7 linked regions of the Sus scrofa genome follow. The protein of the gene in region 3 interacts with the protein of the main gene of each other region in a pairwise test. Links are inferred from orthologs where the notes say so. Each region holds a gene or a part of one and is shown on either strand. Other genes may lie near its edges. The genes, in order: TMEM8A, EXOSC5, REL, PRKAA2, AQP1, PRKAB2 and CINP.

The links.
Region 1: the proteins of REL (region 3) and TMEM8A interact in binary tests that used the Homo sapiens proteins (3 or more experiments, as listed by UniProt). The two-hybrid records come from large-scale screens. The link is inferred for Sus scrofa from reciprocal best matches to the Homo sapiens genes REL and PGAP6.
Region 2: the proteins of REL (region 3) and EXOSC5 interact in binary tests that used the Homo sapiens proteins (3 or more experiments, as listed by UniProt). The two-hybrid records come from large-scale screens. The link is inferred for Sus scrofa from reciprocal best matches to the Homo sapiens genes REL and EXOSC5.
Region 4: the proteins of REL (region 3) and PRKAA2 interact in binary tests that used the Homo sapiens proteins (3 or more experiments, as listed by UniProt). The link is inferred for Sus scrofa from reciprocal best matches to the Homo sapiens genes REL and PRKAA2.
Region 5: the proteins of REL (region 3) and AQP1 interact in binary tests that used the Homo sapiens proteins (3 or more experiments, as listed by UniProt). The link is inferred for Sus scrofa from reciprocal best matches to the Homo sapiens genes REL and AQP1.
Region 6: the proteins of REL (region 3) and PRKAB2 interact in binary tests that used the Homo sapiens proteins (3 or more experiments, as listed by UniProt). The link is inferred for Sus scrofa from reciprocal best matches to the Homo sapiens genes REL and PRKAB2.
Region 7: the proteins of REL (region 3) and CINP interact in binary tests that used the Homo sapiens proteins (3 or more experiments, as listed by UniProt). The two-hybrid records come from large-scale screens. The link is inferred for Sus scrofa from reciprocal best matches to the Homo sapiens genes REL and CINP.

What each region holds. Positions count from the first base shown.
Region 1 is NC_010445.4:41,318,418-41,322,706, forward strand, and holds the start of TMEM8A (transmembrane protein 8A), read left to right. Parts: upstream 1-1,489; 5' UTR 1,490-1,593; coding exon 1,594-1,732; intron 1,733-1,836; exon of another isoform or gene 1,837-2,585; intron 2,586-4,289. UniProt on the Homo sapiens protein: Involved in the lipid remodeling steps of GPI-anchor maturation. Lipid remodeling steps consist in the generation of 2 saturated fatty chains at the sn-2 position of GPI-anchor proteins (GPI-AP).
Region 2 is NC_010448.4:49,378,948-49,383,106, reverse strand, and holds the start of EXOSC5 (exosome complex component RRP46), read left to right. Parts: upstream 1-1,359; 5' UTR 1,360-1,403; coding exon 1,404-1,551; intron 1,552-4,159. Other genes in the region: BCKDHA (2-oxoisovalerate dehydrogenase subunit alpha, mitochondrial), read right to left, coding at 790-906. UniProt on the Homo sapiens protein: Non-catalytic component of the RNA exosome complex which has 3'->5' exoribonuclease activity and participates in a multitude of cellular RNA processing and degradation events.
Region 3 is NC_010445.4:80,909,434-80,913,598, reverse strand, and holds the start of REL (proto-oncogene c-Rel), read left to right. Parts: upstream 1-1,365; 5' UTR 1,366-1,932; coding exon 1,933-1,942; intron 1,943-4,165. UniProt on the Homo sapiens protein: Proto-oncogene that may play a role in differentiation and lymphopoiesis.
Region 4 is NC_010448.4:155,692,518-155,695,244, reverse strand, and holds part of PRKAA2 (5'-AMP-activated protein kinase catalytic subunit alpha-2), read left to right. Parts: intron 1-572; coding exon 573-1,077; intron 1,078-2,422; coding exon 2,423-2,549; exon of another isoform or gene 2,550-2,637; intron 2,638-2,727. UniProt on the Homo sapiens protein: Catalytic subunit of AMP-activated protein kinase (AMPK), an energy sensor protein kinase that plays a key role in regulating cellular energy metabolism.
Region 5 is NC_010460.4:42,073,942-42,077,979, reverse strand, and holds the start of AQP1 (aquaporin-1), read left to right. Parts: upstream 1-1,238; 5' UTR 1,239-1,428; coding exon 1,429-1,818; intron 1,819-4,038. UniProt on the Homo sapiens protein: Forms a water channel that facilitates the transport of water across cell membranes, playing a crucial role in water homeostasis in various tissues.
Region 6 is NC_010446.5:100,377,174-100,381,343, forward strand, and holds the start of PRKAB2 (5'-AMP-activated protein kinase subunit beta-2), read left to right. Parts: upstream 1-1,370; 5' UTR 1,371-1,396; coding exon 1,397-1,552; intron 1,553-4,170. UniProt on the Homo sapiens protein: Non-catalytic subunit of AMP-activated protein kinase (AMPK), an energy sensor protein kinase that plays a key role in regulating cellular energy metabolism.
Region 7 is NW_018084979.1:1,150,398-1,154,424, forward strand, and holds the start of CINP (cyclin-dependent kinase 2-interacting protein), read right to left. Parts: upstream 2,801-4,027; 5' UTR 2,720-2,800; coding exon 2,713-2,719; intron 1-2,712. UniProt on the Homo sapiens protein: Component of the DNA replication complex, which interacts with two kinases, CDK2 and CDC7, thereby providing a functional and physical link between CDK2 and CDC7 during firing of the origins of replication.

The sequences.
Region 1 (4,289 bases), about 40 Mb from region 3:
CGCAGCTCGGATCCCGCGTTGCTGTGGCTCTGGCGTAGGCCGGTGGCTACAGCTCCGATTGGACCCCTAGCCTGGGAACCTCCATGTACCGTGGGAGCAGCCCAAGAAATGACAAAAAGACCAAAAAAATTTAAAAAAATAAAAAAAAAATAAAAGTGCCCCTTGGGAGGCCCTGACCAGCTCATTCCCAGTCGTCCTCTCACAGCCCTGGGCGTCCGGGTTTATCATGTCCCAGCCTTTGAACCTCCACCTGTGGACGGTGATTCGAATGCCCCCGCCCTGAGCGCCAGCGTGCAAGCGCTCCCGGCGTGCAAGCGCTCCCGGCGGAACAAATGCACAGCAGGAGATGGAGTGAGGCTCCACCCAGCCCAGCCCGCCACCCAATCCCACCCTTTCCTCAGGCTCAAACTTTTTCATCTCTGCAGAGGTGTTCGGCGCAAGAAAAAAGCCCTCTCCGGGCTTCCTTGTTTGCATTTCTCTAAGGAAGGAGCCGTTCGTTTGCATATCCTTCTCAGTGTTCTCTGGGCACTTCCTGTGGGAGAGTTGGGATTTCTTACTTGTTTGTGGGAACTCTATATTACAATCGCATTTAGATTGGCCCTTTGGGATGTGAGTGGCACGGTCGTCCTCCCGTGGCTGGCTTGCTTTTTGACTTGATGGGAGTTTTGCTCTGCAGGAAACTTTGATTTTCAGGCCTTGCGTCCCGTGTCCAGCGTCACATTTAGAAAAGCCTTCACTTCCCCCAGACTGTGCAAGAGTTTCCTTGGAGGCCCCATCGTTTCCTTTCCACGCTGAACTCCCTCATCTGTTGGAATCTACGCTGCTGCCGCCGCCGTCAAGGCTGAGGAGTGAGTCCCGTCCAACGAGAATCGCCACCGTGGTAGCGTGCGAAAGATGTATAAACCGGAGTCTTTTTCCTCTTTCCGTGACAGTGCGGTTTTCACGCACGTTTGGAGCGCGTTTGCGGTGTGACGCGCTGGGAGGCGGGAGGGAGCGCAGGCTGGCTGGACTTCGCGCGGCGCCCTGCCCACGGCTCAGTGACCCGCAGGCTCTCTCGTCCCGGGGTCAACCCAGCGCATCCAGGAAGGATGTGGGCGCTCGGCCGCCGCCTCCAATCTCCTGCGCGTCCCAGTTCGCGCCCCACTAACAGGCCCCTCTGAGCCGAGACCCCCGCGGCCGCCTGCGTCCCGCGCCATCCTCCGCCCCCAAGGGTCCCGCCACCCTTCGTCTGCTCCCGCCCCGCCTCCCCCACCTGCGATCGGTCTCGGGTCCGCGTTCGCCCTCGGCCCGCGACCTCGCTCCCACCCATCTTCTTCGCGCGCCCTCCCGGTCCCAGCACGGCCCCCGGCCCCCCGGCCTTCCGACCGTGGTCTCCGCGCCCTCCCCGCGCCCCTCTCCGGCCCGGCTCCCGGCGGGGCGGGGCCTCGCAGGCGGAAGTGCCCGGGGCGCCGGCGGCTGGGACCAGCCCGGACGATGGGAGCCCGGGGCAGAGGCGGCGGCGGCGGCCGCAGGGGCGGCGGTGGCTGCCCAGGCGGCGGCGGGGGTGCGCGGCCGGGGACGCGGGCCCGGTAGCGCGGGGCCGAGCGCGGAGCCATGGGCCGGGCTGGGACCCGGGCCGGGCGCGCGGCGGCGGTGGCGGCGGCGGCGGCGCTGGCGGTGGCCGGGCCGCTGCTTCTGCTGCTACTGCTCGCTCGGCCCCCGCTTGCCGCCGCCGGCGACAGCTCGAAAAGCGGTGAGCGAGCGCGGACCCGCGGGCGCCGTCCCCGGGTCGCGGGCAGAGGGGCGCGTGGAGGTGGGGGTGGGGCGGCCGGGGGCGGGGTCTGCATTGTGACTCACCTGGGGGCTCCTGTGCACTCAGCTGGCACGGGTGTTGGGCCCAGGTCCTCTTGCCGGGTTGGGGGCGCTGGGCAGCCCCTAGTGGGGCTCGGCGTGTGAGAGCGGTCGGGTGGAAAGCACGCTCGCGCCCCCTGATCTGTCTCGAGGGCTGGGTTCGGCCTCACGGGCACCTTGGAGCCAGCCAGCCCTCCCTTCCTCCTCCTGCCAACGCGTTCAGGTCGGGCGCGACCGTCGCGCCCTGGGAGGCGGAGGTGGAGCGGCTGAGGGGTCCCTTCTGGGAGTGTGAGAGCTGAGAGCCAAGCGCCTAGGAAGAAAGGCGGGCAGTGGGATTCCGCGGTCTCCCGCTGGTGGGGAGAGGGACAGAGGCCGGAGAAAGTTGTTTAGACCCTGGAGAAGCAGCCCAGGAGGGTGTCATGGCCCCACCCCTCCCGAAGCGACCCCCAACCACTTTGCACAGCTGGCCTTGCCTGTGGGAGGCTGGGCTTCCCGGATCCGCGGCCCCGGGTGGGCCCCAGTGGCTCTGAGAAATGGGCACCTCTGCGTTGCTTGGGAACTTTCACTCCCTTTCACGGAGGCCCGAGGAGGTGGCTAGACCAGGAGGCGCCACCGCTGGGCTTCCGCAGGACACCTGAGGATGCTGAGGAAACCCCCTGACTCCTGTGGCCTTGGACTCGATGAGGCCACGTGGCCCGGGCTGGCGGGGCTGGGAGGGCCCAGATGCCCTCGCTGGGCAGTAGGCAGCTTATCTACCACAGCCTGGGGCTGGCGCCCAGCCATCCCCCTTCTCCGAAATCTTGCTCCTCCAGGCTCCTGTTTCTTTGAGGGCTCTGCCTCTGGGTTCTGAGCTTGGCACCACTTGAAATGAAAGGCAGTTGCCCCAAGATCGGGCCCTGATGAACTCGTTCCATTGGGTAGCTCCACCCTTAATTTCTCCTTTTCCAGGGTGAGGGCTAGGTGAGCGGTCACTGGTGGGGAGTTTACAGAGATGGAAAACCTGGGGCAGCCCCTCAGCTCCCAGGCCTGCTGAAGACGCAGGCAGCTCTGTGATCCCGGCTTCTGGGGTCTGTGGGTGGGCAGGGTCTCTGCACCGGGTGCCTGTCCTGGTTTGGAGGGTGTGGGACAGGGTGTCCTCCCTAGGGTTCCCAGGACAGGTTCAGGGACCTTCTCCTCCCCCAACCCTGTGTCCTTGGAGGGGGCCATGGACAGAGCAGGTGTGTGTGGTGTGGCCGGTGCTCCCTGATATCAGGAATGTGACTTCCACATCTGGCTCAGCATGCATTAGGGGTGCTGATGGCCTGGTACATTCACCGAGATAAGTCTTGGGGCAGGGAGGTGGAGCTGCAGACCTGGGGGTGGGGTACCGGAGGGGCTCTGGCCCTGGGAGTGGGGGGCCATTGAGTCCTAGAGTGACCTCTCTTATCTCTTGTGCACCTGCTGAGACTTCACAGCTACCAGCTGGGTGGCAGGTACCCAGGGCTGGTGGGGGCCCAGAAGGCCCGGCCCCCTCTCGGATCAGGGGTGGCACACTGCAGCGTGACTTCCCTCGCACAGCCCCATCTCTAAGCTGTGTGCCCGGTAGGCTGGCTATTTCTCCAAGGCTCTGTGACCATGGACTGTGTGGGTGCAGCCGCCTCAGAGGAAGTTTGTTCAGTGGCTCCTAGTCTTCCCGGCCTGGCAGCCAGTAGACACCTGCAGAGCCTGGAGTGTGTCCTGTGTGGCACCTAGCCCTGCCCAGCCCCTACTGGGCTCCTCAAAGCTCAGACGGGCTTTGCAGCTGGGCTGCTGTCTTTTCTCAAGGAGGTTCCACGGGAAGGTCAGGAAGCTGGCAGGAAAGCCAGCGGCTCGCCTGGTTCCCTCACCTACTCACCCCGCCCACCTAAAGGGACCCTGGGCTTGCTGCTCGGAGCAGATGGAGGCCACACCCTGCTGTGTCCACAGTCCATTGTTCAGGAAGCACAAGTGCATCCATTAGCCATGGACGGAGGGGCACCCAGAGGGAGGTGCTGACTGCTGCCACTGCTAACTCTCGAGGAAGCTGGGACCCAGAGAGAGGAGGGGACAGCCATGGTCACACTGAGCTCAAGGCCGTGTTTTCTGCCAAGTAGCCCTGGCGCCTCGTGGCTGGACCCCAGGCCTGGTCGGCCGCCCCCAAGACACAGAGAGCCCACAGGGCACCTGTTCTGTGGGAGGCCCAGAGGGAGGGTCTGGGTAGGCGCCAGGTTGGCACTGTCACCCACTCAAGGGGCAGGTACCTATGCTATGGGCCCTGGATATGTGCTCCAGTTGTGCCAGTTAATGGACACTCCCAGGAGGGCCCTGATCAGCCTCGGAGCTGAGTCCTGGAAGGCCTTCAGAGTCGGCTGTCAAAGGCTGGCTTGACCAAGTACCAAGTGGGCTGCAAGGGCAAACGTTTGGAGTGTGGGGGTAGCGGAGCCAGGGAGCCACAGAGGTGG
Region 2 (4,159 bases), on a different chromosome or scaffold from region 3:
TCTCCCTCCTCGTCCACCCTCATTAGCTGAACAAATACTTACTAATCATCTCCTTTGTAATGATCAAGACAGACAAGGTCAACAGCCAGGTACTGCATCAGGGGACCCAGGATCAAACGACTTTTTTACACGATTCATTTTAAAATCAGAGCAGGAGTTCCTGTTGTGGTTCAGTGGGTTAGGAACCGGTCATAGTGTCCATGAGGATGCAGGTTCCACTCCTGGCCCCGCTCACTGGGTTAAGAATCTGGCGTTGGCCCCCAGCTGCGGTTCCCATTCCACCCCTAGCCTGGGAACTTCCATATGCTGCAGATGCCCCAATAAAAAGTAAAAAAACAAACTAAAAAAAACCAGAGTTGAAGCAAAAAGGCACTATAAAAGCCTGTGCTGGGGTATCTGCTCTCTCTTCTCTTCTTGGAAGGGGGAGTCTTTCCCAAGAAGAAAATCTTTCCTTTGTAAACGCAATTTCACTCTCCAACCCCTGAGGAGAAAGGTCACACTTTCCCCCCATGTCCTCCAAGAGGCCTCCCCGGGGCATTGGTGGCAACTAATAAGAAACGCCCTCCCTCACTTTCTCCACGTTGTCTTCCTCCCTGAGGGTCCACAAAGAAGCTGTCCCGCTTTGCCTCTCCTAAGGAAGTGAAACTTCTTCCCTTGAGGGTCCGCTACAAGATGTTTCTGCAGCCCTTCTCCCTTCAACCGCCCTCCATGTACTCCCTACAGGGACGCCACACTCTGAAGAAGGAGTTAACATTTCTATACCTTCTCGGGTACCTCCCCAGTACTCACAGATCTAGCCAGACCCCGAGCCCCAAGCCGCCGCAGAAGCAGGAGGCCAGCCTGGCCCAAGCCTTGACTGCGCTCCCAAACCCTCGCCACAGCCACCGCCAACGCCATCTTGACCATTAATACCTCAGAGTAGCGTCCCCCTCCTTGGCGAGACTGGGGCTGCCCCTTCAGGAGCCTGACTCAAATACCAGGATCGCTCTGCCAAGAAACCACCTGCTACTAATCCTGCGGTCTTTAGGACACATATATAGGTGGGTAAAATAATCCAGATTTCCCCAAATTACTCCGATCGCTTCACCGGAGTTATTCCTCTTAACAGGCAAAGCAGAGGGCAACTGAGCTCGGCTTCAGGGTTTCAGGGCCCCGGGGCCTCGGGTAGGACGAGCTCATGCCAAGGCCCGCCCTCTCTTCCCTTCTGTCCAATGGCTTTCCTGGACTCTCTAGGCGGGAGTAGGAGGGACCAGATTGTTAGTAAACGCAGAGACACGTGCGGGCGCGGATCCCGGAGGGCCCCGCACCCAAGTTGGCGCTTGCTCATTGGGTACGCAGTCTGTACGCAAGCGCGCGCTTCTGGGCGGAAGCGACAGTCCCTGCTGCACGTGGGCTCCCCGGCGATGGAGGAGTCGATGCAGACTGAAACCAAGGTACGCCCCGAGTCTGGAGCAGAGTCTGGCCCTCGGAGCCCCAGCTGTACTCTCCGGCACTTTGCCTGCGAACAAAACTTGTTGTCCCGGCCCGATGGCTCTGCCTCTTTCCTGCAAGGTAAGAATTTACCCACGTCGTATTTGTTCTCGTGGGCGGGTACAGTGTATTGTGTTAGCTGGTAAATATCTTCTTGGACTGATGCAGTTCTTGCCGGAGTGAATGGTACTGCATATGCCAGTAGACAAATAGAAGGGTGAAGATACCTCCACTCTGGTAAATATGCCTCAGGATGAGAGAGGGGCAGACCTTCTCTTAAGAACGAATACTCCAGGGACTTCCCTTCGTGGCTCAGCAGTTAAGGAACCCGACTAGGATCCATGAGGATGAGGGTTCGATCCCTGGCCTCCCTTAGCGGGTTAAGGATCCGGCGTTGCTGTGAGCTGTGGTGTAGGTCGCAGACACAGCTCGGATCTGGGGTTTCTGTGGTTGTGGTGTAGGCTGGCAGTTGTAGCTCTGATTAGATCCCTAGCCTGGGAACTTCCATGTGAGGCCTGAGAGAGCAAAAAAAAAAAAAAAAAAAAAAAAGAACGAATACTCCAGAATAGGGGAAATCTCACCGTGTAAAAAAAGTCCTCCTTGACTAGGTTCCTCCCACACATGCACTCTGGATTCATCTATCCCTGGTTGAGGCAAACCTGTTCTTTTGCGTAAATACCTCGTAGACTGGCAAATCACCACTACTGATTTTTTTTTGTTTGTTTTTCTTTTTTCTTTTTTTTGCTTTTTAGGACCGCACTTGCAACATATGGAGGTTCCCAGGCTAGGGGTTCAAATGAAGCTGTAGCTGCTGGCCTACATCGCAGCCACAGCAATGCGAGATCTGAGCTGCATCTGCGGCCTACACCACAGCTCACGGCAACCCCAGATCCTTAACCCACCGAGCGGGGCCAGGGATTGAACCCATAGCCTCATGGATACTAGTTGGGTTCTTACCCGCTGAGCCAAAATGGGAATTTCGTTGTTTTATATATACGGAGTTGCCAGGCTGGGGATCACATCCAAGCCCCAACTGTGTCCTTCCTATGCCCTTAGAGTGGCAACGCTGGGCCAGGGTTCCTGCCAATTCCTTTGTGCCACAGCGGGAATTCCTGAACACATGTGTTTTTGCTAAGTACTGTTCTAAGCACTGAGAAATCATAGCTAAAAAGGTTTTTTGTGTTTTTTTAATTTCTTTTTTTATATTTTTTTCTGTTTTATATAAGTTTTTAAATTCCTGCCCTAGAAGAGTTTCCATTTCCATCAGAGAAACAAGTGATAACTAAGTAAAACTTAGTAAAAGGCTATGGAGGAAACTACCGCAGGAAGGAAGAATAGGGCGTGCCAGAGAGGGGTGCAGTCTCAAATGGGATGGTCAGGGAAGGCTTCGCTAAGATGGTACCATTTGAATAAAGATCTAAAGGTAAGGGAGCAAACCCTCAAGACAGTAAGAGAAAAGCATTGGGGACAAGGGTAAAGGCCCTGAGACAAAAACTTGCCTGGTGTGTTTGAGGAGCAGTCAGGAGAGCAAAGTGGCTGCAGCAGAGACAGGAGGTCAAAGAGAGGTACGGAGGACTGCCCTTCATGCAAGTTTCTTAGCACTTAAATACTGAGCCTCTTCCATGTTCTAAAACCCCAAAGCCCAGGACCCTGGAGCAGAGTCCCTCAAAGGCCCTCAGAAGTGTGTCTCACATGCTCCTGGCCTCAGAATCTCTACTGAGGTTAAGAATTCCGAGCCCCAGGAGTTCCCTGGTGACTCAGCAGGTTAAGGTTCCAGCATTGTTACTGCTGTGGCTCAGGTCCAAGCTGTGGCAAGGGTTTGATCTCTGGCCCAGGAATTCCATGTGCCGTGGGCACAGCCAAAAAAAAAAAAATGCTGAAGCCTCAGAACCCACCCACACCAGCTAAGTCTGGCCCTCTACACTTTTTAATCCACTACAGCGGCAATTCTGATTGCAGGCCAGCGTTTTGAAGCTGTGCACCAGCTCCGTGTCCTCCCACTGCAGGTTGCAATCCCCGCTGCACATTAGAATGGCCTGTGGAGCTCACAGGCTGCCGGTGCCTGAGCGCCAGCCCTCAGCAATGGTATTAGGCTCTCTGAGGGGAGGGGCCTGTGCATCAGTGTCTTTTAAAGCTCTGCAGTGAGTCCAATGTGCATTCGTTAGTGATTCTTTTTTTTTTGCTTTTTGTGGCTGGGCCTGCGGCATATGGAAGTTCCAGGCTAGGGGCTGAATCGGAGCTACAACTGTTGGCCTACGCCACAGCCACAGCCACATTGGATCCTTAACCCACTGAGCAAGGCTAGGGATCGAACCCACATCCTCATGAATATTAGTTGAGTTCTTTAACCTCTGAGCTGCAGAGGGAACTCCCTGAAAAAAAATTTTTTTTTTTTGTCTTTTTTGCTATTTCTTGGGCCGCTCCTGCAACATATGGAGGTTCCCAGGCTAGGGGTTGAATCGGAGCTGTAGACACTAGCCTACGCCAGAGCCACAGCAACGCGGGATCCAAGCCGCGTCTGCAACCTACACCACAGCTCACGGCAACGCCGGATCGTTAACCCACTGAGCAAAGGCAGGGACCGAACCCGCAACCTCATGGTTCCTAGTCGGATTCGTTAACCACTGCGCCACGACGGGAACTCCTGAAATATATTTCTTATTGGGGGTTATGGTCAGAAAAATTTGGA
Region 3 (4,165 bases):
GTTCCCTTTGTCCCTTTGTGGCTCAGCGATAATGAATCAGACTAGTATCCATGAGACTCAGGTTTGATCCCTGGCCTCCCTCAGTGGGTTAAGGATCTGGTACCTTGAGCAGCTGCGGAGTAGGCTGGCAGCTGCAGCTCCAATTTGACCCCTAGCCTGGAAACTTCCACATGCTGTGAGTGGGACCCTAAAAAAGCAAGCAAGCAAGCTAAACAAGCCTCTTATAGCTTTGTGCCCCTTTAAGATCTTTCTTGGGGCCTTGGAGCTATCTCTTGGAAATGTGAACATCAAGGAGGATGTTGCCCCATCTCCCTGTTTCTGTAGAAGTTTAAACCCTGGCTTTTAGCTCCAAGATGTAACTTCCTATTATTTTTCCTTGGGATAAAGACAAGTTTGTAATTGATTGTACCTGTCTGATTATATAAAGTGAGATTTCTTTTTTGTCTTTGCAATCGTCTTAACGCATCACAGTATGGTTTAATGTTTATTCAATAATAAAACTTTCATTCTTTTCTACTTTATTTCGTGAAGAGGATATTTTGGGAGTGGCAGGAGATTTTAATTATTTCCCCAACCGGATCCCCCAGTTTTGGCACCTGTATGGCAGACTATTTTCCATTACTCCTCCATATTTATTTTAGGCAGCAAAGGATAGTGGAAAGAGCCTGGAGCTTTGGAGTCAGACAACCCTGAATTTAAATTGTGCTTTTCTTTTTACTAGCATTCTAAAATAAGGACAAGTTACGTCTCTGAACCCTGATTGCCTCACCTATCAAATTAGGATAATAATACATTACAAACGAGGCAACTAAACTGACACTTAGGTCCTTTACACAGTAAGGAAACAAAGTAAACTTAGATTCCTTTAGTATACTAAACGTTACATTCCCTCTTTCCTCGGGCTATTTCTGTCCAGTCCCAAGGCAGTGTCCACATTAATCTTGAGCACAATGAACATCAGGCAACGAACTCACATTGCGGACCCTAAGAGCTTAAAAAGTTTTAGTTTGTAAAGTACGTTAACAGAGCCCTCGCAATTTAGACAGGCAAAGGAAGAAGATCGGGGGTCTCCGTATGCAAATATATGAATTACGACCGCGCACCGGCTACCGCGGCTTCCGCACTTCCCTTCGAGGGCGCTCGGGTACATCGGCGCTGTGCCGCCAGCCCGCGCGGGGGCGGAGATTTGCGTGTGCAAGAAGGGGAACCACCCATCGAAAACCCCCCCAAGCCCGGGAGGGCCGGCCCCACTTCGCGCCCGGCCCACCCCTAAGTGCTTGCCGGCGGTCGGCCCTCCTGACGTCACCGCACCCTCCCACCTGCTCCTGAACTTTAAGCCAAGCGCCCAAGAACATCCTGGAGGAGGGGGATTTCTCAGGAGCCAACAGCTTTCGCACGCTGGGGGAAGTCACCTCCCGGGTCCCAGCGTTCCCTGCGCTCCCGAAGGTCCCCCGTTCCCGCTTCCCAAACTGGATCCCAAGCCCTTGGGGGCTCCGGGGAGGGGGCGGGGCACGGGGCAGCCCAGCGCCGACGCACGCGCGCGAGTCTCAAGGCGTCCCGCCCCCTCCCGGGGGAAGGCGGCGGTGTAGGGGGCCTACGTCAGCTAGGGGAAATTCCCCTCCCGCCGGGCAGCCTGCCTCTCGGGCCGGCCAGAGCTGGGCTGCCGCTGCTGCTGCTGCTGCTGCGCTCCGCCCCCTGCCCCTGGCTCCCGCAGCCTGGACTGGCGACGCCGGGTGACCCGAGCGCGAGAATTAAGCGGGTGGGAAGGTGTGAGCCGCAAACCCAGAGGAGGGCGGGAAGGAGGAGGAGGTCCCGGGGGTGGTCAAGGGGATTGGGGATCCCGCTGGCAGAGGTCCCTCGGCCGCCGGACTGACTGACTGCGGCGGCCTCCGGTTCGGACGCTCGGAGCAGGGCGGCGCGGTGAGCAGAGCCATGGCCTCGGGTGAGTGTGTTCCCGCGCGGGCTACCTCTAACAGCGGGAGGGCAGGAGCGGGTCCGAGGGTCTTGCTGCTCAGAGTTTCGGGGGGTCAGTTTTGGTTGTGGCTCTTTGTGTCTTTAAACTCGACGCTGGCAAACTGTCAAGCTTTTGAAAAAGTGACAGAGTTCGGGGTTTGTGTGTGAAATCAAAGTCAAGCTCTGTAATTTGATGCCGTTGTAGTCGTCGGAACCTTAGAACTTCCCAAAGACTTGGGTCTTGGATTAGGGAAGTTAGAAGAATCTGAATGAAGGAAGACGAAATCCTCATATTTAAAAATTGATTTATTATTGAATTGGAGGTTTTACGTTTTAGAACAGGAAGGAGGATCCTTCCGACCTCAGGAGAGCTCTTTTTAGTTTAATCTCATCAGTTGCTGAGAGGTGATTGCTGTTGTTGCTGACAGCTGGGCAAAATGCGGTGAGGCTTTAAAAATTACCAGTGGTATTTTAATAGGTAGTAGGTGGAAAAGTTGCTTCAACCAAGTGGATCATTTTTACTGTGAAGTGCCTACTAACTTGTAAAACAGAAGTCGAGTTTTGTTTTCCTTTTTGGAAAGAAGGGGGAAAGACGGTTTTTTATTTTGTTTTGTTTTATCATCTCCGTGCTTTAAAATATGATGAAGCATGAAAAGAACTTTCTATCACTTATAAACTAGCAAATATTTATTTATAGTTAATACTTAATGTGAATCTCTTTCTTTGGGGAACCGAGTTTACCAAGAAACTGCTTCAAGGATGAGGGAGGGCCCCTCAGATCCCGCCATGGTTTAGGTCGGCTTGTAACCTGAGGCAAGCAAATCAAGTAGACTGAATTCGAGTGGGACTTTTATTGGAGTCTGGGCAAGGTTCGGGGTGGGGGGCCGGGGGGCGCTTTCCCGCCAGAGGGAGCAGCGAGAGCAAAGTCTCAGAAGCCTAAAAGTGCGTTAACACGGTGCCGGGAGGCTGAAGAGGGAGACTTGTTTATGCTTGACCCACATCCTCCCAACTGCCTGGTTCAGTGACCCTCGGAGGGCTGATGACTAGAAGAGAAGAGGAAGTAGAGAGCATAAAGGACTTTTTTTTAAAGGGTTGAGCAGAACAAACCCATAGCTGCTGCTGTAGGCTGAAAAGGAAATTGGGGTGGTTCACATGACATTTGATTTCAGTTTGTCTGTGGTTTTCATGTGAGAATACAAATGTAGTTTAAAATATTTCAACTTTCTCTTCATCTACTTCAGTGACCCCAGACTTCCAGATAATCTTGTAAATTCATAAATTCAAAGCATGTTAGATTTAAAGTGCAAAGATGACAGAAAATATTTGGTTAATTTATCATCAGAAAGATTTTGTATGAAAGTTAAAGAATGGCCAGCGTTATAGGTATAAAACAAACAAACAAAAAACACCCCAGGCTTCCGGCAGTTTAACCAAACTTTATGATATATGGCATGAATGTAATAATTATTTCAAAAGAAAGAAAAGAATTAGCCACTCACATAGAGTATTGTAAAACCTACATCATTCAAAAATGTGATACCGTTTAAACTTGTTTCATGACACTGTTTTGTCCTGTTGTGTGTACTGATTCTCTAAGTCGAAGGGGAAGAAATTAAAAGAAAAGGAGAGCTGTAGGGTAATTATCTTTTTCTTTCTTTACTGGGCTTGCATCAAAATGCACTATTCACAACGTAAGAAGTTATTGAAATTGTAATTCAATTATTTGAAAACCGCAAAACAAAAAATTTTTTAAAGGAGTCTGAGTGTACTTTCCTTAATGACTTGTAAAGACCTTACAGAAAAAGGTTATAAACAACCATCCCTGTTTTTAACAGTAATTTAACTAAAAGAGGACCAAGAAAACCTTTTGCTTAGTTCATCCTTGTCTAGTTGAGAGTGTGTATTAAAGTAGTATAAAACCTCAAAAAGTATTTTTATTGATTACCAAGCATTTAAGGCCATTTCTTCATTTCTCACCGGATGTCATATGTAAATAGGTGTGTGTAGTTGAATGTGTGATCTCTAACGTGAAAGTAGCAGATCATAATCTCATAAGCAAAATTATAAAAGTACCATAAATAACTGGGACTTTGAATGTTTCATTCTAAATTTTGTTCAACTAAATTATCAGATTATTTAGGAGTTCATAGTTCAGGTTCTGTTAAGCTGTCTTTATTGCTTATTCCAGTCTTCTGACACAATTAATTTAGGA
Region 4 (2,727 bases), on a different chromosome or scaffold from region 3:
ATTTTAACGACCTCAAACTTTTATTCTTTATTACATTAAAATCCACTGGTCTTGTTTTTATTTCAAGTGGATCTTTTACTCATGTATGATTCTGTAACATCAAGCATTGGTCATATGGAAAATATTGAGTTATTGAGGTAGACTGATTTTCCAAATGGTGACCCATTTCATTATATAATATCAAATCATGTTTATTATCACCTTCACTATAAAGTTAGAAAAAAACTTTTATGTATTGGGAAGCTGTCAAACTCATAGAGACATGTACAAATAATACAGAATTCTAAGATTTTGCTTTAAAGCTTGAATTTTATCATTGGCATCAAATAGTTGTTTGCCACTTGTTTCCTTTCGAATGACAAGCTCATTTTATTTTTGAGGAAATTGCAGCCACATACCCAAGTCTGAATAATCATCATATTCAAGAGCAGAGGTTAACTTACTTACCCAGGGTCACATAGCTAGTGAGTGCCTAGAGATCACATCTTTCTGATTCTGTTACATTGTACATAAATTATTTGGGACTTGCCAGAGCATGTTCTTACAATAGTGTGTTGTGGTATTTTTCCTAGAGAGCATGAATGGTTTAAACAAGATTTGCCCAGTTACTTATTTCCTGAAGACCCCTCCTATGATGCTAACGTCATTGATGATGAGGCTGTGAAAGAAGTGTGTGAAAAATTTGAGTGTACAGAATCAGAAGTAATGAACAGTTTGTATAGTGGTGACCCTCAAGACCAGCTTGCAGTGGCTTATCATCTTGTCATTGACAATCGGAGAATAATGAACCAAGCCAGTGAGTTCTACCTCGCCTCTAGTCCCCCAACTGGTTCTTTTATGGATGATAGTGCCATGCATATTCCCCCAGGCCTGAAACCTCATCCAGAAAGGATGCCACCTCTTATAGCAGACAGCCCTAAAGCAAGATGTCCATTGGATGCACTGAATACAACCAAGCCCAAATCTTTAGCTGTGAAAAAAGCCAAGTGGCATCTTGGGATTCGAAGTCAAAGCAAACCATATGACATTATGGCTGAAGTTTACCGAGCTATGAAGCAGCTGGATTTTGAATGGAAGGTAGGAGATTGGAGTATATGAAGATCATTAGTAGAAGCCCTTTGATATATAGTGAGCTGCTGAGTTGAGTACTGTGGTCAATAAAAAAGTTGGTTTTGATTTATATATGAATTTAGTGGTCTAGATGCTTCTGGCTAATAAACCCCATTCTTTCTAGTAATGTACCATGTACACTCAAAACAAAATAAATCTTTGTAAAGATTAAGAACCGTTGATGTTGGGGACCTATATATTTTTGAATTATAGAATAGCATTCTTGGCCAAGAAAGAGTTTTAATAAACTTGAAATTTCTTGAGAAAATAGCTTACCTGTTTCAGCATGCATCAGAAAAAAAGTCATGTGTCTTCAAAGATAGTATGTTTTTACTTTCTCTTTTTTTCTTTTTGTTAATAGCTGTAGCAACAAGTGGTTCGTACAAATTATACCATCAGGATATATTTATTGAGTTGACAAATACTTTTCTGTAAGTTGAGAAAGCCTGTCTTATTTGGCTAGTGCTTTTAGTCCTTAGTTGTGATATATTTTTTTTTCAGTCCACATTTTACTTTTTTATTAGTGCTCAAATGCATTTCAATTCTATTTGAGTATATGGGGGGCAGTTTTTCCTTTTCAGGTATCTTTTATTTTCGTTCCTTTCTTGAGGACTGGAATGTATTTTTAACAGAAGAAAAATGTTCAAACATACCATGTACATATTCACTTGACATATTTTTATTTCGTTATTTGTACATGGAATGAATAAACAAAATCATATTTCCTTAAAACCATTTAAAAAGCAGATCTCCCTTTTCTGAAATGGTTTTATTTAGTTAGTTTAAAAATAGATGTTAATGTCTTAAAATTCCTTACTGAAAACATTTTGTAAATAATTTGATGTTTTGAAAAAGCAGAATCTTTATCTGAGTTGCTGTTTTATTATCTTCAAAAGAAAATATCTTCCTTGCAAGATTACTATGATACTTCAATTTTGTGACAGTACCTGTTACTGTGCCAGGTTTAAACCATTAACATGTTAGGTCTCTGTCTAGCTTATAGTCCTAGTAAAGGTATCCAAGTTGAGAATGGGCAACGAAGATTATTTAGAGTAGAGGCACATCTGGAAAGAATGCTGGACTCCATATAATCTCTGCATTCCCTTTAAATTTTAATTGCTGTATATAGTACTGTTGGTAGGGATTAAATACTAAACTACTGTGTAATGTAAAAGAAAAAAGATAATTCAGGAATTCCATCTCTGCTCTACCTCTGTCAGTTACTTGTTTTAATATTATTCTTTTCAATAAGAATAAGGTATTTTGTAGTTTATTTTTAATGTTTTCCCTTAAAGAAAAATTTCCGTTTTAGGTAGTGAATGCATACCATCTACGTGTAAGAAGAAAAAATCCAGTGACTGGCAATTATGTGAAAATGAGCTTACAGTTGTACCTGGTTGACAATAGAAGCTATCTTTTGGACTTTAAAAGCATTGATGGTAAGGAAGCCACGCAGGCATGAACTCTGAGAAGATAAAACTTGGCACTAGTTGACAAGATGTTAAAACCATCTCAAAGACATGGTGGGTAGGTCTTCTGTACTGGTTTTTAAGTAACCTAGATTTAACTAAAAGTGTAAGTGAAGCGAAAAGGATCGAAGACATGTGGAAAATCTCT
Region 5 (4,038 bases), on a different chromosome or scaffold from region 3:
CTCCTCTTCCCCGCAGACGCACTGCAGCAGCCTGGTGGCCTGGGCCTGGGGTTCCTGACCAGCCTCCGGCCCAGGAGTCCAGGTTCCTGCTCAGTTCACTGGCTGCCGCTGGGCCTCTGGCTTTGGCGCAAGGCTGGACTATGGGGCGGGGTGGGGGGCGGGCATGGTCTTTAGAGCTGCCTCTTCCCTCCCCCTGCCCCAGGCAGTGTCCGGTCCCTCCCCTTTCCCCTCTGCTCTCTCCTCTTGCTCTTCTGGATTCTCACCTCTGGGTCCAGTCCTGTGTCCCCTCTTTCCAGTGGTCTTTCGCGCTTTGTGCTGTCTCTGTCTCTCCTTCTCAGTCCCCAGTGTCTCCCTATCACTGTTTGGGGATCTGTTCCTTTCACTTCTGCTTCGGCTGATTCCACATCCCACTGTCCTTCCTCCTCCCTCTGTCTCTCTGCCTCTCGTTGCCTCCTTTGCCTCTTCCCCTCTGGGCCCCGGTGTCTCTTCCTCTCCCTTTCGTGCTCCCACCTCTCTTCCCCCTTTCTCTCCTCCCCTTTCCCTCCGGGGCTTTCCGGTCAGGTTGCCCTTCCTCCTGTCTCCCCAGTGGTCCACCAGCTTCATAGGCTTCGAGAGGAAAGTCCTTGCCTGCCCTCATCTTCCCCAGCTGCCGCAAGATCATTCGCTCAAATCAGAGTAGGGAGCATCCTAGCCTGTCTCAGGCCTGCCCTGGACCACAGAGTGGGGGGTGGTCTGTAGATGAGCTCTCTGTACCCCCTGATGCCTCTGTGTCCCCATCAACTGAGGCCTGGCCGGTGGTCTGAGGGTTCTGGGACATTCCTATGGTGACATTTAGTGGCCAGGTATGGGAGGCGCAGACTGCCGCTGGGGACCCCTGGACCTGTGGACTCCAGACTCAGGCCTCTCTGGGGTTGGATGGGGATGGCAGACCAGCAGGGTCATGGTGCCCGCCTCTAGGAGGGCAACGTCCACCTGCTGAACCTAGCCGCTCACCCGCCCCATCCGGAGCGCCTGGCTTTGCCCTCGGGCACCCCCTGCGCTTTGCACACAGGGCAGGGACACCTGGATTTCTCTGGCCCCCTGAGTGGGGCCAACTTGGAGGAATTTCTCAAAGCCTATTAGAGAAACGCTGCCTCCTGCCTGCCTCCTCGAGCTGGGCAGGGCTGAGGGCGGAGGGAGAGAGGGAGGGAGGGGAGAGAGGAGGAAGGGAAAAAAAGTTGGCAGGCCGACAGCAGAGCTGTGTCTGCATCCATCGCTGAGAGGAGGCCCGTGCAGTGTGGGGCGGGCCAGGAGCAAGGAGAGGCCTTCCTCCCTTTGTGCTCCCCCCCCCCGGGGGGGCCCTATAAATAGGCCCAGCCCCGGCTGTGGCTCAGCTCTCAGAGAGAGGCGAGCACCAGGCAGCCGTCTCAAGCCAAGCCCCCTGCCAACATGGCCAGCGAGTTCAAGAAGAAGATCTTCTGGAGGGCGGTGGTGGCCGAGTTCCTGGCCATGACCCTCTTCATCTTCATCAGCATCGGTTCTGCCCTGGGCTTCCAGTACCCCGTGAGGAACAACCAGACTTCAGGTGCGGCCCAGGATAACGTGAAGGTGTCGCTGGCCTTTGGGCTGAGCATTGCCACGCTGGCCCAGAGCGTGGGCCACATCAGCGGCGCCCACCTCAACCCGGCCGTCACGCTGGGGCTCCTGCTCAGCTGCCAGATCAGTGTCCTCCGGGCTGTCATGTACATCATTGCCCAGTGTGTGGGGGCCATCGTCGCCACTGCCATCCTCTCAGGCATCACCTCCTCCCTGCCCGGCAACTCCCTTGGCCTGAACTCGGTGAGTGGGGTGGTCCCAGGCGCCGGGGCTCTAGAATGGTGCTGAGATGCCGCCGGTTTCATCCTCTGCCCACTGTGCAGATGGGGATACTGAGGAACAGAGAGGACGAGAGGTTGCTGGAGGTCATGCTCAGTTGACCTGGAACTCAGCTGTGCCTGGGTCCAGAGCCCTTTTTCTTCCAGGCACTGTGGGACACGGAGACCCAGAGCGTAATGGTCTTGCCAGTGTCCCCTGCGGGCCTCTATTATGGGAAATAAGCTCTGGAGGCAGCTAGTGGTTGGGCCAGCAGCTCCTCACCCTGGTTTCTTGCTCCCTTCCACCCCAAGCCCTCCCTGTGCAGCAGCTGCCTCCCCATGCGGCCTGGACCCCAGGGAAACTCTGTCTGCTGTCCCCCGCCTCCCTGCACCACAGGCCGGGCATGTGTGTGGGTCCGTGACAGTGTGAGCAGGACTCCCCTGGGGCTGCTCCAGCAGCCCCACATTCGCACAGGTCCCCAAACCAACTGCCTTGAAGGAAAAAGCTCCTCTTGCTCTTCTGGCCCCAGGTGGGGGACAAAGATGGGGGTGAAAACCCTGTCTGGACAGTGTGCAGGCGGTTTTCTTGGATTACAGCAAGGGGCAGGGGCGGGGCAGGGCCCTCTCACCCCCTCTCTGGGTCCATTCGCGGTGGCCGGGCACTGAGAGGTGTGGTGTGTGGGTGGGTGTGAGCCGTGTACGCGCATGGATGGCCACCCTCATGGGTCTCCGAGCCCATGGAACCTGGGCACTCCTGTGTGAGTCTTTTTTGGAAGCGTGTCTGTGTCTGTGAGCCCGTTATACTGCTGGGCAGGCATGTGTGGGGGCGAGTATGTGCCTGCGTGTGCCCACCGCTCTCAGACTAAATGGGGCCCGGCCTGGGGGCACTCAGGATAAGCAGATGTGGGTGACCCAGCGGCAGCTGCAGAAAAGAATTCCTCCTGGGCCGCTTAGCACAGCTAATTGGCTGTTGGCGGCAGTTGCCTGCTGTCGCAGACCTGGGCTTTTCCAGACCTTCAGCCAAGTGCAAACTCAGACCTGGCTTGGGCCACAGCAGGGGGAGATTTGGCCTGAGAGTCTGGGTAGGGCTTGGAGGAGGTCTTAGAACACCGCAGCCGAGGGGGCGTTGCCACAGGGAGGGAGCGAGGCCAGGGAGCAGAGAGAAGGGATCAGGTGGGGTGTCGGCTGGCAGGGCCTGGGCAGGGCAGGCGGGTGTGGGGACAGTAAGAGAGGGGCCAAGAGCCCTGCAGAGACCGCAGGGGGTGATCAGAGAAGCAGCTCTTGCTTCCCAGTCAAAGTTCAGCTCCTGGTGCTGCGGCTCGGGGAGGCTTGGCCAGCTCCGGTGCGGAGGGCAGCTGGCATGAGCCTGCCATGGAGGGATTAGCACTTCTTGTGCCACAGTGACACCTCACCCAACCCGGGGTTGAAGATTAGCCCTGTAGACTGGAGTTTAGACTTTAGTCGAGAAAGAGGTGGGCATGGTGGCTGTGAGGGACAGAGCTCCAGCAGGCTGCGTCCCTCCAGGTCTATCTCTCCAGCGGGGGCAGAGCCGGGCAACATCGGGGAGGGCCCGCCGGGTAGGGTTGGGATCACCTTGGGGCTTAGCTGGGCAGGATGGGCGTGGGGATAGGGTCCTCCTGGTGGGAAGCTGAGTCTCCCAGGCCTCTCGGCCCCCTCTTGACCCTCTGTCTCAAGGACCAGGCAGGCAGGTGTCTCTAAGCTGGCCATCCCAGGCAGACGTGGGAGGGCGGGCTCCTCTGTGTCATCTTGATCTGGCCACGCCCTCCTCCAGTGTCCCGTCCCCTCTCTGGCCTTCATTTTCCAGAGTTGCCCCAATACCTGAGCCAGGCGGGTGGCAGATGGGGGAGAAAAAGGGACAGCATCGTGTGGGGCCCAGCCTAGACTCAAGTCCTGGATCCTACCAGCTTGTTGGGTTTCCCCGAGGCTGAGAGCCCTGAGGCTCCAAGAGGGGACCTGGGTCTCTGGATATCTCCTGGCCACATGTGTAGTACCAGCATGCTCACTCTAGGTCTTGAGTTTATCACTCTTCCCAGGGCGGTCTGGCTAAGGGGAGCCCAAGAGGGGCCGTGCTAAGCATAAGGGCACTGAGCACTGTGGCGGGACCCAGGGCAGCCCTGTCCACACCGTGGAAGTTTGGGGTCTGGCAGGGCACAAACAGAGAAAGCATCCCCGCCAAGGGCTCCCG
Region 6 (4,170 bases), on a different chromosome or scaffold from region 3:
TGAGTTTAGTCTGTTCACGGGACAAGCAAGACTATGACGAAGAATCAAACCTAGAGTTGCTCTCTGCCAGCTGTCAAAGCAGGGGTTCTTACACTTTAATGCACACACACATTCCCCTGGGGATCTTGTTTAAAATGCACATTCTGATCCTGTAGGATGAGGCCTCAGATTCAGGATGTCTAACAAGCTCCCAGGTGACGCCCATGCTGCTCCTCACTAGAACACAGGCTGAGTGACAAGAGCTTCCAGTAGGTCATGAAACATGCGTGCGTCTAATAACACAAAGGAAGAATGAGTAAATCCCATAGCAATCTCATTAACTATCACTCAAAACGTGAATGAGTCACAACCTGAGGCCTGTCGCTGCCCGTTTCTGCCTTAATGTTCTTTCTGATGTTTCCATTCTTTCTTGAATTTCATTTCTTCAGGGGTTGCTCATACCAAGTGCTGTTTCTTAGCCTTGCAGGGCTTTCTCCTTCTCCTTAGACGAAGTTTAACCATTTGTCAAGATTTATCTCCTCATCACTCCTCCTTCCCCGCGGCTCCAGTCCAGCTGACTGCTTCCCACAGCACTTAGCAATTACCACTACTTCCTCAGCCTTCTGTTGGAAGCCCGCTTTCTTGATTCCTGTAGAAACCCACCTCTCAGGGAAGCCCCCCAGAAAGACAACATAAGAAAGAAAGGCAAAGTCGCTCCTCTGGGTACGGAGCCCTGGAGTCACTCGGGGACCACCCCCTCCGGAGGGCAGGCCCTGGGGCTCAACCAACCGAGTCTCAGCACAGCCTCGCCAGTGAAGCGATCTCAGCCCTGCGTGCCGCGGACTGCGGAGCGGGCGCCCCCGCGTGGCCCTGGAGGCTGCGCGCCGCTGCCCACCATCGAGCCGGCGGTGGCTAGAGAGGCCGGCGGGCCCCGGGCGCCGCGGTGGTACGGCCACAGGGAGTGCGCGCTAGGCGGGCACCGCGCCGCTGGCCTCGTGGCCATTTTAGGAGGAACCGCGGCTCGCTAGCCCCGGGCGCGGCTTCAATTTCAATAACTTTATTGGTGGCTTCTCAGCGGAACAGCCATCGCACCATTGGCCTCGGGAGGAGGGAGAATTTACAGGAGGTGACTGGGCGGGGGCGGGCGCCCCTGGACTGTGAGCGCAGGGATGAGGGGGAGTTCCCGAAAGCGAGTTTCCTGAGCCGCCGGCAACCAGGGGGTTTGGGGGTTCCGGGCGCTTCTGGAGGCCGGGGAGGGGGAGGTTGTCCCCCGGGCACGGCCTCCCTGGGGCGGGGATTCCCTTGCCCGGGTCCCCAGGCACAGGGGCGGGGCCGGGGGTGCTCCTGACGCAGCCGCCGGGGTGTTCCTAGCCTTGTGTTCCGCACGGCAGGTGGCCCCCGACTCCGAGCTGCAGCCATGGGAAACACCGCCAGCGAGCGGGTGGCCGGGGAGCGCCACGGCGCCAAGGCTGCTCGCGCTGACGGCGCGGGCGGCCATGCCCCGGGCAAGGAGCATAAGATCATGGTGGGGAGCACCGACGACCCCAGCCTCTTCAGCCTGCCCGACTCCAAGGTGAGCGCTCCCACGCCCCCAGCGGGGGGCGAGGCTGCAGCAGGGTGGGTGTCGGGGCTCCTCCTCCGTTTGGGGATTTCTTTCTTATCACACTGACCTGAGTTATGGTTTTGGGAACTAAAGGCTCTCTCGGGGACTGCGATGTTGAATGATCATTCCTTTCGCCGCGCTGCCTCAAAATAGCCCGGAGGTGGAGTTCTTGTTAGGCGACTCCTCTGCTGGCCGCATTTTCGGATGAGGACAACAGACCTAACTCTTGGTTCTCCCAACAGACACGGGTACCCTTTGCTAGGGTATCGATGAATTTGTAGGTTGTGGGCCTTGGGGAGGGTGGATTACCTGAGGGCCACATTTAGGTGGCCGTTTCTCTCATCTGCCCTGAGGTGGGCAAATGAATTTCTGTTTCCTGACAGCTTCTCTGTCTGAGTATCATCTTTGCTCTTCTGAGAGCTCAGCATTTCAGATCCCTTTTCCCCTTTGGCATGGCTGTGAGTGGCAACCACGTGCTTATTTGAATAATTTCTCCTAGTGGGGGTCAACAAAGGACATCATTTGGTGGACTGCTCATTTTCATCTCATACTTTATAGTTATGGTGGCTGAGCTGCTTCTTTCTTCCAGCCGCTACTCAAGAGCCAGAGCAGGTTAATTCCAGAATTTCTCCACTTCCCAGTAGTACTTCATCATGTTACCACCGCTGAAAACGAACAATCCACAGCAGCCTTGAAGACCTTGTTCTCAATTCCAAGGACTTGTTTCAGGGAGGAGAAAACTTGTATTCACCCCACAAAAAGCAAAGTTGGAGCTGACAGCAATGTGATTACCACCTGAATGTTTCTAATCCCTTTTAGAGCTGCTGGCATTAAATACATTAATTCCTCCAGGTAGAATAAAATGAAGTAGAAAAACAGATTGAGCAGCTGGGGGGTCTGTTTGATGTTTCTTGTCACTTATCCCTTCCTACCAGTGTGGGGTTTTATTTTATTTACTTTCCTAAAGAGAGAATAATTTGCCAGGTTGATAGCGTGGGAAATATGGATTCTCCAGTTTATTTTTTCAAGTACCAACTGAGAACATAATCACAAAAAGAAGTGAAGATGTTTTCTCGGTGTTTCTCCTCCATTCCTTTCTTTTCCCACTTCGGGACTTCTTTCTCAACATTTGGGCTGTCTCTTCAGCCATCTGAACTTCTTCAAAATTCTTCAAAGCTTTCTTTCAAAGCTTTGTACCCACTTCCCTACATTGATGACTCAGGATCTAAGTAATGTATTATTTGTCAAATGGTGACTGCAGTAACTGGCATCCTGAATAAAAGCAGGTTGCTCTATTTGAAATGGAGTCTATTTGGATCATTCTTTCCCTTACCTCAGTCTTGCTATTCATGAAATAAGAAAATGGATTCAGATAATTCTTAAAGTCTCTTCAGAATCTAAGATTTTATACTCAATGTGCTCTCTTTATTTCTTCCCTAAATGTTTCACTTAAACATTTTTCAATTGTAGTTGTAATTATTTTGCCACTTTTCCTGAAGATTTTGCTGACTATTGAACTTGGAGTAAACAATCTTTCTGCTAGTCAGCTGCACTCATGCCTGCCACAGAAATGTCACGTTATCCGTGGAAGGGCTTTCTTCCAAAGCTAAGCATATTAATAGTTTGTAGCTTTCAAATTCTAAACTGAAAATACTAAATCATACAAGTAAATGATAGAAACAGTGGCAGTGGGGCCATCCTCTTCAGTGGACTAGTTACTGGTTCTCAATTAGAATAGGCTGGAATTTGTTTAAACACTTCATGGAAAATTTGAAACACTGTCCATGTTTCAAAGCAGGGAGAACAGTGTGATGAACTCCTGTATAGTTGTCATCCAGTTTAAACAATGATCAAATCATGAATGAATTTGTACCACCTATATACCCCCATCCACTCTACCCTCACCAATTATTTTGAAGCAAATTCCAGACTATCATATCAAATATTACTTTATTAGTATTTTAGGATACATTTCTAGAGATGAGGTTTCTTTATTTTTAACATAATCACAGTGTTATTGTCTGGAAAGCTTTTTAAGAATAGACTCCCAGACCCTATATTTGAATCAGAATCTGAGGCATTTGTAATTCTTAGGCATATGTAAAAATTTCTCTAATTCTAATGCAGCCTGTCAAGCAAGAACTCATTGCTTTGAGAAAATGGAGATCAAGATTTTTTAGGAGCTCCCGTCATGGTTCAGTGGTTAACGAATCTGACTAGGAACCATGAGGTTGCAGGTTCGATCCCTGGCCTTGCTCAGTGGGTTAGGATCTGGTGTTGCTGTGACCTGTGGTGTAGGTCAAAGATGCGGCTCAGATCCCACGTTGCTGTGGCTGTGGTGTAGGCCGGTGGCTACAGCTCTGATCAGACCCTTAGTCTGGGAACCTCCAAATGCTGCGGGTGGGGCCCTAGAAAAGACAAAAAAAAAAAAAAAAAAAAAAATTCTCTAAGCCATTTCCTTATATAACGTGGAAGTCCCTTCTTTTTCTCTGTTTACTTTGGATTTATGCTGCTACTGGTGTCTCGTAGTGTAGTTTTGAGGAATATGGAGAGACAGTACAGAAGGTAGACTACCTCTGCCATTTTTA
Region 7 (4,027 bases), on a different chromosome or scaffold from region 3:
GCTATCAGCGCTCGACATTCCAACATACTGACCGGGCCGGACCTGAGATGCAGTGATGATCTCCGTGCTTAGAACTCAGGACCTGGAGTTCCCGTCGTGGCGCAGTGGTTCACGAATCCGACTAGGAACCATGAGGTTGCGGGTTCGGTCCCTGCCCTTGCTCAGTGGGTTAACGATAGGGCGTTGCTGTGAGCTGTGGTGTAGATTGCAGACGCGGCTCGGATCCTGAGTTGCTGTGGCTCTGGCGTAGGCTGGTGGCTACAGCTCCAATTCGACCCCTAGCCTCGGAACCTCCATACGCCACGGGAGCGGCCCAAAGAAATAGCAAAAAGACAAAAAAAAAAAAAAAACAAAAACTCAGGACCTGGCTCCCTCTCGGCTTCAGCGCCCATCTTAACCCCCACCCTGAACCCCCGCAATCTCTAGCTAAGAGCAACTACTGGCAACTCTTTTTTTTTTTTTTTTTTGCTTTTTAGGGCTGCACCTGTAGCACATGGAGGTTTCCAGGCTAGGGGGTCCAACTGGAGCTACAGCTGCTAGCCTACATTACAGCCACAGCAACATCAGAACCAAGCCGAGTCTGCAACCTATACCACAGCTTATGGCAAGGCCAGATCCTTAACCCAATGATCGAGGCCAGGGATTGAACCTGCAACCTACACCACAGCTTATGGCAAGGCCAGATCCTTAACCCAATGATCGAGGCCAGGGATTGAACCCGCAACCTCATGGTTCCTAGTTGGATTTGTTTCCACTGCGCCACGATGGGAACTCCTACTGGCAACTCTGAAGTTGAATCACCCACCCACTGGCTCTTGCACATGTAGTTCTCTCTGCTAGAAAGCTTCTTCCTTCCTCTGGCTAAGGCTGCCCAAACCCCAGGACTCACCCAGGTCCCAGCTCCTGCGGGAAGCAACCCCCAGACCACAATAAGCCAACTCAGGCTGTTTGGGCACCTCCCACACCCGGGCCCTCCTTTGCCTCGAATCCTCTCCACTTGGAATCCTTCAAAAGTATTTCATGGCCCACAGGATAAGGTCCAGATTCTGAGAGAGGCCACTTACGGAATCCAGGACACACAATGGCGATACAGTTTATATAGTTTGGAGTCTAGACTCTGAAGACCATACAGACTGGGTTTAAATACTTGCTCTGTCACAGCCAGCTGTGCAATTTTGGGTAAGTTAGTTAACCCCTCAGAGCCTCAAAGTACCCATCTGTAAAGTGGGGGTAAAACAGATCTACTACATAGAGCTGTTGCAATGATTAAATAATATATTTAAGCTGTGAGGGTCTGACGTGCAGCAAGTACCCAACACAGCATGTGTTATCACAAGGGCCTCTCCAGTGTGGTTTTTCCACCACCACCAAGCAATAAACTCAATTCTGACACCAGCTACCTGGAGATGGCATCCCACAAGCTAATTGCTCAGTCCTACCAGACTCTTACCCTCTCTCTCCATGTCAGCGGCCAGATCTAGGTCTGTGCTTCTGACCTACTAGAAATCTCTGATAGATCGGAGGTTCCAAAGATAGCCCCTCCACAAGGTTTGATTAATTTGCTAGAGTGGCTCACAGAGAACTCAGGAAAATATTTTACCTATTAGATTACTAGGGCCAGACAGAGAAGTGCTTAGGGCAAGATATGCAGGAAGGGGTACAGCGCTCTCTAATCACATGATTGGTTCCCCTGACAACCAGCCCCCATCCTTATCTAGGTTCCCCTTTTAAACATCATATTGATATTAAGAGGGTTGGAATTTTCAGTCCCCCCACCCCCGACCCCCATTTCCAATAAGGGAAGAGAGACTGGAGGTTGGATCAGTCGTAAGTGGTAAATAATTTAATCGACCCTCTTTATGGAATGAAGCCTCCATCAAAACCCAAGAGCAAAGAGTTCTGGGAGCTGCCAGCTTGGTGAACAGGTGGGGATTCAGGGAGATCAGCACTTGGAGACAGCCTGGAAGCTCTATATCCAGTATCTACAGTTACTCATTCACTCCTTATTTATACAACTAACCCAGCTTTTGCTGAGTGCCTACATCATGCCAGGCATGGGGAATGAAGCGACTGAACTTGGTAGACCAGGGCCATTTTCACAGAACTTACTTTCCAGAGAGGAGATGGATAACAACTAGATGGTCAGCATCAGTTTAGACCATAAACCCCACAGAATAAAACAGGGTCCTGTGTTAGGGTGAACCCCCGAGAGACTGTCATTTAGGCTGCAATCTGAATGATGAGAAGTCAACAGCTTGGGCGTAATGTGAGAATGAGCTTAGTGTGTGTAAAAAAAGAAAAGGACCAGGGCGGTTAGAATGAGAGGGAGAGAGGGGAAATAGTAGGTGAGCAGGCAGCCAGGCAGCTAGACCCTTACAGGCCAAGAAAAGAAGTCTGGGTTTATTCCAAGTCATGGAAAGCCAGCAGCAAGCCTTGAGCAGGGAAATGACGTGATCTAATGTCGGTTTTTAGAAAGTCACTTCCACCAGAAGTCTTTCTGGATTCCCAGGTTGGGTTAGGACTCCTTGCACGAAATACCTGGAATACCCTGTACTTAACTTGGCATCACAACACTCATCAGTGCAGCGTATCTTTTTGTTTAATGTCTAGCATCTTCCTCACTAGACTGTGAATTCCGTCGGAGTACCGACTAAGCTCCAACCAAAACACTCACGCCCTGCCCGCCTGGGGAAACTGGCCCTTCTCACGCACCTTCCATGCCATCCGCAGGGATCCCAGGAAAGAGACCTCCGAGCCCCGCCCACGTCCGCCGGAAGTTCCCGACGCCACTTCCACCCCGTCTGCCACCTCCTGCTCCTCTGCCGCTCTAGCCAGCGGCGGAGCCGCCTGCCGCTCGACGGTGCGGGCCCCGTTGCCCTGGAAACGGGCTCCCGGCAGTCCCCGCGGCCCGGAGTCCATCCCCGCCTCCTCCGGCCCGGCTGGGCCGACGAGTCCGGAGGGGCCGCCGCGGGAGGTGAGTCCCGCGACGCCGCCTGACCCCGCCGCCCAGCCCCGCGCCCCCCCCTCGGCCTCCCGGTCGCCCCTGTAGCACCTCAGGGTCGCACTGCCCCCTTTCCCGGTCCCCGTCTCGCCCGCGCCCGGTGGCCGAATGCCCTGGCACACGAAGCGCCGGGCTGGCTGCCTGGCAGAAGCGGAGGTCTGCCCAGGGGAGCGGTGGTCGCCCATCCCTCCGGGGCGCCCCGGCCCGCCGACACCTCCCGCCAGCCCTCCGCCCCGCGCGCCCCGGCTGCACTCGCTCCTCCCTCTCCGCCGTCCCTTCCCTCTGCCGCACCCTGGTCTCCCTTCTGCCCCGAGGCCCCGAGCTCCGCGGTCTTGGGACTGACGTGGCGCCTGTCCCCCGACCCTCAGCCCGCGTCCCTTCATCCGCACCCCTCCCGCGTCCGGCCAGGCCTTGGCACATACCCATAGCACAGAGGTGCTCAGGAGCTGTTGGTCAAGTGGGTGAACGGACGACTCCTCTCTCAGTCCTGCTTTAAGGCCTCAGGCAGAATAGTTAGTGCAGGTTAAAGAGTGGGGTACCCTGGAGTCAGACCCGGGTCACAGCGCTGCCCCGTCCTAGCTGTGCGCTCGGGGTAAGTGATGTCTCCCTAAACTTCTCTTGCATCATCAGCGAAATGGGGCTGGTAATAGTTTCTCGCTCTGGCTTGGTGGGAGGATGAAATGGGTCGGTGCTTGGGAGTTGCTCGGCACGGCGCCTGGCACGCGCGGTACATTTCAGTGAACGCCGCCCACGTACTGTACTTGCATTTCTCCTCCCTGCTCCCCGTTCTTCCTCACTTTTTCGTCGCGACTCAGGAATTTCATTCTGTTCTCTTGCTTCTGTTAACATTTGTTTGGCAGAGAGAGTGTGGGCTGCTAACCTGGGCACACACCTGTCTGCTGGCGTGATGAGTTGCACTGGGAATTGACTTCCACCTTGTAGCCAAGGTCTTGGAAACTTTAAGGAAAGGAGCTCTGGAAATTCCCAAGCCCACATCCCAGCATGGGCCGAATCTGGGAATAAAAT